Ovis aries: one gene and its partner. The protein of the gene in region 2 interacts with the protein of the main gene of each other region in a pairwise test. Links are inferred from orthologs where the notes say so. Each region holds a gene or a part of one and is shown on either strand. Other genes may lie near its edges.

Region 1 (3,478 bases), on a different chromosome or scaffold from region 2:
TGTGTGTTCTAAAAAAGAAAGAAATACTGAGCCCCTTGTATGTTCTAAAACCCCAAAGCCCAGGACCCTGGAGCAGGGTCCTCTGCAAACCCTCACTAGACTCTCCAGTGAGGTTAAAAATGCCAAGCCCCAGAACCCACCTATGCCAACTAAGGCTAGCCCTCTTTGTCCTTATTGATTAGTTGCTCAGTCGTGTCAGCCAGGCTTCTCTGCCCATAGGATTATCCCAGCAAGAATACTAGAACAGGTTGCCATTTCCTCCTCGAGAGGATCTTCCCAACCCAGGGATGCCAGCCCTCTGTATTTTTAAATGATCTGCTGTAGCGATTCTGGTTGCAGGCCTGTGTTTTGAAACCGTGCTGGAGCTCCATGTCTTCCCACTGCAGGTTGCAGGTCCAGCTGCACATTAGAATGGCCTGTTGGAGCTCTGAGGCTCCCAGTGCCTTAGCCTCAGCCCCCAGCAATGGGATTAAGGCTCTCTAGAGGAGGGGCCTGGGCATCTAGATCTTTCAAAGTTCTGCAGTAAGCCCAGTGTGCATACGGGGTTGAGAACCACTGTGTTCACTAGTGGGTTTTTGTTTTTGTTTCCATCTTATTTCTGTTCTTTGGTCAGGTCAGGTGTTAGCTGTGGTGCATGGACTTAGTTCCTCCACGGCATGTACAGGCTTAGTTGCCTGATCGGGGATCGAACCAGCATCCCCTGTATTGGAAGGTGGATTCTTAACCACTGGACCACCAGGCAAGTCCCCTTTAATGGTTCTTTGTAACTGAAATATAGTAGAAAATCTCCGAGTACGTCAAAGCAGTAACAGTAAAGAGTTGTTTTGGGAGGCGTTCATTCCATTTATATCCACACAGATTTGTGTGAGTTTTGGGTCCTGAAGTGTATTTGAGTCTAAAATGTATTTCTTACAGGGAGTTAGGATCAGGAATGTTTGGAAACTGCTCTTGTAGTCCAGTCTACCCATTTTGCTGATGGGAAAACTGAGGCCCAGAGAAGTAAGCAAAATCAGCTGAGATTACAGAGCCAGGAGGAAATAAGCAGGTGTCAGGAGCCAGCCCTAGATATTCATCCGTTTCTCAGGTGTCCTGACTGCTACAGAGTTTGGGGACGTGAGCTAGAGGGAAGAGAACTCGGCCTCGGGGGAGCTTTGGAAGGAGAAGTTGGGACCAGCAGCAGTAAGAAGGAGGGTTAGCACTCAGGAAGAACTTCCTGTTAAAGTTAGTAATAGTAGCTAAAGTCCTTTGGGCACTCAGCAACTTAGCAGGCAGCATCCTAAGTGTTTCTCTTTTTATCTAATTTAATCCTCATAGCTGTGAAGGATGTCCTATAGGTGTTTGCTTTTTTGTTTTTTTTTTTGTCTGCACTGGGTCTTAGTCCCAGCATGCAAACTCTTAGCTGTAGCTTGTGGGATCTAGTTCCCTGACCAGGGGTTGAACCCAGGCCCTCTGCACTGGGAGCTCAGTCTTAGCCAGTGGACCACCAGGAAAGTCCCAGGGACGTACTGTAGTTATCCTCATTTTACAGATGAGGAAGTAGAAGCAGAGACATGAAGCAAATGCTCAAGGAATCGCTGCCAACAAGGGGTGGGCCAGAGTGAGGGTGACGTGGGGACCCCTGGCCACCCAGCTCAGGGCCCACAATGTTAAGTTCCTCGTGTCAGACCCCAGAGGCAGGGAAGATGCAGGTGAGCTCGCCCATGCTTTCTCCCCAGGGGATACCTCCGTCCTGGCCGGCGTGTATGGGCCAGCCGAGGTGAAGATCAGCAAAGAGATCTTCAACAAGGCCACGCTGGAAGTGATCCTGAGGCCGAAAACTGGACTGCCTGGTAACTGGTCCTCTTGCCCGGTGTCCCCATCACTGCCCTTTCTGGTCTTCACTCCTCTCAGCTCCCCTCAACTGTTTCTTTTTCTCTAGCTCTCTGCCTGTACGTCTCTTATCACTTTTCTCCCTGTCTCTCTCCATCTTCTCTCCCCGCTCCCTCCTTCTTTCCTGGCTCCATCTCTCCTCCTTTCCATTAATCTGTTTTTCCACGCTTTTACTCTCTGCCCCCCTCACTCCCCAGGGCTGGGTGCACTGCGATGGGAATGGACAGCAGCACTGGACATGGGAGAGCTCTGAGGTTCTCCTCCCCCGGGAGGCTCCCTTGGTGGGTGCTGGAGGTGGCGGGCATCAAGTGGGTGGCAGTCAGGCCCTGCCTCCCTCCCACTAGGACTCCTTTGTCATCCCTTTTTTCTGGAGGCTTGGGTGGGGCACATGGAGACAGGTGAGCCAGCTGGACAGGGAGAGCCTGACAGCCCAACCCCATCCCTGATTTCCGCAGGCGTAGCGGAGAAGAGCCGGGAGCGGCTGATCAGAAACACATGTGAAGCGGTGGTACTGGGAGCGCTGCACCCCCGCACCTCCATAACTGTGGTGCTGCAGGTCGTCAGCGATGCTGGCTCTGTATCCTTTCCTCCAGGAAGTCCTCCAGAATCTCACTGATTGCCGATGGCCATGTACACGCTTGACAGATGTCAACTTGTAGGAACAGCAAACACAGCTTGAGTGTTTACTGTGTGTCAGGCAATTTATACAGTGTGGACAACTCACACTTCTAGTAACTGGCAATGCCAGGACATGAGCCCAAGCCATGTGGCTCTAGAGCTCAAGGCCCCTAGCAGCTGGGTCCTGTTCTCATGTTTCAGGTGAGGAAACCAAGGCCACGAGAGGAGAGGTCGCTTACCCAAGGTCACACAGCTGGAAGGCAGCAGAGGCTGAATTCACACACAGGCCCATCTGACTCCAGAGCCTGTGCCATTGACCTCATTTCTGACCCTGAGCTTGGATTTGAGGCTCAACAGGGCAGGAGCCCTGAGCAGGCAGAGCCTTTGGTTCAGCAGCTCAGCCTTGGAATGTGGCCGCGGTTTGGGTGCGAGAGGCAGAGGCCCAGAAATGGGCATTTCTAGACAGCTTTGTGCGTGGGTATGGCCCTGCACTGGGCAGATACTTCACAGATGGGGGAAGAGGCGCACTGTGAACCCATTTCACAGATGGGAGATAACGGAGGGTCAGTGGCAGAGGTGGGGCTGGCTGACTGTAAAGCTGGGCCCTGGGGAGGAGAGGAAACTGAGCTGGGGCTGGCTGGCTGACTCAGGCCTGTGCTCACCCTGCACAGGGCCAGGGCCGCACCTCTCCCCTGGACTGCGGGCTCCCTGAGGACACTGACTCCTCCCTCCGTCATCCTGCCAGCCTGCCACCCGGTAGCACTGCTTGCTCGATTCCCCAGCCCCAGGCCTGGCTCTGCCACTGCCTCCTTGTTTTATCTTGAAAGGCTTCTGACCTTTGTTTCCCCGAAGGTGCATACCTGCCGAATATCATTGTGATCCCTGACTGAGGCTGAGAGAGAGTAAGTAGCTTGTTCAAGGTCACACAGCCTAGGGGTGGCAGTTCACGTTTGGAACCCAAGGATACTAGATCCCAGGATTACTCTGCCTT
Region 2 (4,356 bases):
ACAAACCTAGATCTCTTTAAACGGATTGAAATAACAGTGACATTCTTAAAGGGTCAAATTATACAGGAAACATATACTTCTGCCCTCTTAAGATGAGTAATATATTTCTTCAAAGCAGGAAAAAAACTTTACAAACATCTTTTCAGCTTTCCAGTATATAATCAGCCTCAGAATGGCAACCATTTCCTATTGTCAGGTAGTTGGTGAGAAATGCAAAGTACACCTGCAACCAGCGGCTCAGGAAGATCAAGGTGAACACCAGGCCTTGGCTCTCACTTCTACCATTCTGTTACCAGGTACGGAAAACTTCAGCGAAAGGACAATTAAAAAATACACATTTTAGCCAGGTATTTGTATGGATGTGAGAGTTGGACTGTGAAGAAGGCTGAGCGCCAAAGAATTGATGCGTTTGAACTGTGGTGTTGGAGAAGACTCTTGAGAGTCCCTTGGACTGCAAGGAGATCCAGCCAGTCCATTCTGAAGGAGATCAGCCCTGGGATTTCTTTGGAAGGAATGATGCTAAAGCTGAAATTCCAGTACTTTGGCCACCTCATGCGAAGAGTTGACTCATTGGAAAAGACTCTGATGCTGGGAGGGATTGGGGGCAGGAGGAGAAGGGGACGACAGAGGATGAGATGGCTGGATGGCATCACTGACTCGATGGACATGAGTCTGAGTGAACTCCGGGAGATGGTGATGGACAGGGAGGCCTGGCATACTGTGATTCATGGGGTCGCAAAGAGTCGGACACGACTGAGCGACTAAACTGAACTGAACTGAACCCCCTTAAAGGTAATGATTAATCCTATGATGACGTTTGTTTGTTTGTTTTTTCCTTTCTTTCTTTTTGGGACCTAAGCGGGGGAGTGGGGGGGGGAGACATCAGGGTGTCACGAATTTCTATCAAACAAGAAAATGAATTAGCTTAGCAGTCTTGGGAAAACTATGAAGTTATGGCAGCTTTGCAGGTGTCCCAAGATTTGGGTTGCTTTACAGGAATAACTGAATTCATGGCACAATTAAGTACTGGTTCAAGCTCATGCTAAAATATCCTAAGTCCCTTTTACTTTAAATCATTCTAAGTATGCTTTTCTTTGGAAGGCATCAACTGCAATATGCCACTTCCAGAGATGCATTCCTATACCAACTAGACTTTAAAAATGGTAATTACTCTAAAGGCACACCCTTGAGCAACCATCACACCGCACTGAGCTCCTGAGAATATTCTGGAAGCATCACTGTGAACAGTTGCTTCTCTGTAGGGGAAAAAAGTGAAATTAAACAGAAGCAGCAGCTTCTGTATGGAGAAACACGGTTTGACACTTGGAATCCTTTTCTACTGCAACAGGTTTACCAACAGCTGCGTTCCTCTGGAGTTTTGAATCTGTGAATCCTTGAGTATCACTCCGCCTTTTTTTTTTTTTTTTTTTTAATCATGAAATACCTTCTGTATACCGTACGGCAGGAAGAGAAAGTTTGGAAATTACATGCATAAGACTCAGCTAACCCAGATGACATACATGCAATAGCATTACTTGAAGAACTTATTCAACCCAATCCTTTGCATCTTGTTAACCAAGGCACAGAACCTCTCCAAATTTTGCACCAAAGAAAAGAGAGAATGCAAGGGTCTTGCTGCAGCTCCTGGGACGCACTGAACACCACCTTGTTACAAGTGTATCCAAAGCTCCCAGCACCAGGGACTTGGGCGGACTGCTTCTCTCTGTTTCACTGTCCCTGAAGCTTTCAGAGGAGACGGTTGTGCTATGAATGCAGACCTTACAAAGCAGGCCAAGAAGATGCTTCGTACCCCCAAGTGCTCGCGGTGCCGGAACCATGGCTTCCTGGTACCAGTCAAGGGCCACGCGGGCAAGTGCCGCTGGAAGCAGTGCACCTGCGAGAAGTGCTACTTGATCACCGAGCGCCAGAAGATCGTGGCTGCACAAAAGATGCTCAAGAAGCAGGCCTCTGGAGAGGAGCAGGAGGTGGCCCTGTGCGCACAGGGACCCCAGCTGGCCCCCGGGGGCGCGGCCGCCACCCCAGGCCCAAGCTTCTGCCCGCTGCTTCCGCTTGCCCCTTTGGGAGACGCGCAGCCGGGCCCTTCGGGCCAAGCGGCCGCCTGCCTCCCTGAGAGGCCCCCGCGGGGCCAGAGCCCCAGCCCGAGTGCCTTCCAGCCAGTTCTGGGCGGCCACAACCGCGGCCACGTGGGCCTGAGCGAACAAGCAGCCAGGGCCAGGCCCAGCTCTCTGGAGCCCCAGCTGACGGCGGAGGCCGCCGGCCGGGGCTACCCCGGCTGCCTGGAGCTGCGCAGGCTGCCGCGGCCTGTGCCGAGCCCGCCGTTCACCGACTTCGGTAAGATTCCCGGTGCCCTGAGCCTTTGTCCCGCTGTTGGTTCCTCTCCGCCTCCCCACTTCCCTCACTCTGGCGTCCCAGGCCAGCCGCGCGTATGGGCCCTTGGGGTGGGGGTGGGAAGATGCTTTCTAGAGGGAATCTTGCTTCGGGATACCTTTTTCTGAGTAGGCATTTGGGTTTGGTGCCTTTTTGCAAGAAGGTAAAAAGAGAGAAAGGAATGGGTGGTTCTGAGGGGGTAATTTTAAAAAACATTTAGCTATAGTCTCTGCTTTCCCATTCCGGGAGAAAAAAAAAATGGCCGCACACACACAAAAAAAATGGCCCCCCAGTCTGCTTAGCTGAGGCTCCTCCTCCCAACAGAGGGGATCGCGGGAGAGTGGCCATATTGCGCTTGCGCAACTCTTCCCACCCTTTTCTGGTGCTGGAGGCTCCTCCCCCAGAACGTCCTCGTGGGTGGGCCAGCGCCTTATGACTGCACCTGCGTCCCTCCGCCCACCCCTCCCCCATCTTCTGTGCCCTAGTCAGCTTGCTCCTCAGCCGTGCTCTGGCCCAATGGCTGTGTATGGGCGTTCTTCCCACCTGTTTCCCAGGCATGGATGGGAATGAGACCTCTTTTCTGCTCCCTACAAGAGAACAGTCTATTGAGACGTGGTTGCTGTTTTTCTCTCCTCCCTCCACATGCATAAATTACATTGTTCCCTAGGTATTGTAACTTTCACTATTATAATTTCAAGTCACATGTAGGTTTGAGACTTTTAAAAAGGGGCTCATTTTGGGTGCAGACACGTGTTTTCTGGTTTTCTCTATGGCAGTGTGGTAGAAAGAGCGCAAGTCTGAGTCAGGACGCTGAGGGGCTGCTCACTTGGTAATCTAAGGCAAGTTCCTTCCTTCTGTGACAGCCTCGCCCCTCTGTAGGCTAAGGGGATTGGCTTGATGCTCTCCGAAGGCCAGTTCTGCCTTCTGGGACGTTCTAGGAAAATATAGGTCCCTAGAGAACTAGATGAGGAAGACAGATCTGAAAAGCAGTTCTAGGAGAAGGATACCTTTCTACGGATATGGAGCCTTTCTTTGTTCCATCAACTGAGCACTGTGTGCCCAGCACTAGTGATGAAAAGGTGAAGAGGGGTGAGTCAGATTCCTTGCCCTCAAGGATCTTGTCCTTGTGAAAGAAAAGGACATCACAGAGAACTCTAATAACCAGTGGTTTAGCTGTGGTCTGAAGGAAGATCAGGAGCTGAGCACTGAGGATTCAAGAAGGCAAGTGGAGTTAGGAAAAAAAGCCTTCCAAGCAGAGGGGACAGCATCTGCAGAGGCCCTGAGGTGGAGGAGAAAGAAGGCGCTACTAGTGATCAGACAGTGAGGCTGGAGTGAAGGCAGGAATGCAGTCTGCGTGGGCTTCATGGCTGGGCCAAGGACTTTTGCTGAGGGCAACAGAACATGGTTGAAGGGTTTAAAAAGCAGGGAGGATCAAAAGCATAATGGATATGGGAGTTGTCTGTGAATGGATATGAGTGTTTATTTATACTGCTACCTTCAGACGATAATATGGTGCCCTTTTTTCTAGCTCCATGTGTTTTTAACACTTCCCTCGTTGCATGTCTTTTCAGGGCTCCCTCTGAGCATCAACTCAGATTCTGTGGTGGGGTCTGAGTGCCTGGAGAGAGAACCTCCCAAGCTGTACCCCAGCTGCTCCAGCATGCACCCCTACCGCCCTTTTCCTCTGGGCTACCAGGATGCGTCCCCAAGTGTGGGGATCCCTCTGCAGCAGAGTTTCCAGCACCTGTCCTATAGCCACTACTATGGAGGAGGCTTGGTGAGTCCCATTCCTGATATTTTCGAAGTTCCTCCCTATTTCAGCTGCCCTGGCTGCTTTAACAGACTTTCTCCCAGGCAGCCAGCCATTGTGCTCACTCTATACCAGGACATGGGCAATGGGTGGAAGGATACAGCATTGGCCTTGTATGCTGTGCACCTCTGGGAATGCACATGTGAACAAGTTGGCCT

What was found.
Region 1: the proteins of DMRTB1 (region 2) and EXOSC5 interact in a two-hybrid assay, tested with the Homo sapiens proteins (2 studies listed by BioGRID). The link is inferred for Ovis aries from reciprocal best matches to the Homo sapiens genes DMRTB1 and EXOSC5.

The regions. Positions count from the first base shown.
Region 1 is NC_056067.1:50,089,466-50,092,943, reverse strand, and holds part of EXOSC5 (exosome complex component RRP46), read left to right. Parts: intron 1-1,715; coding exon 1,716-1,829; intron 1,830-2,324; coding exon 2,325-2,446; intron 2,447-3,478. UniProt on the Homo sapiens protein: Non-catalytic component of the RNA exosome complex which has 3'->5' exoribonuclease activity and participates in a multitude of cellular RNA processing and degradation events.
Region 2 is NC_056054.1:27,981,506-27,985,861, forward strand, and holds the start of DMRTB1 (doublesex- and mab-3-related transcription factor B1), read left to right. Parts: upstream 1-1,445; 5' UTR 1,446-1,766; coding exon 1,767-2,352; intron 2,353-3,959; coding exon 3,960-4,165; intron 4,166-4,356.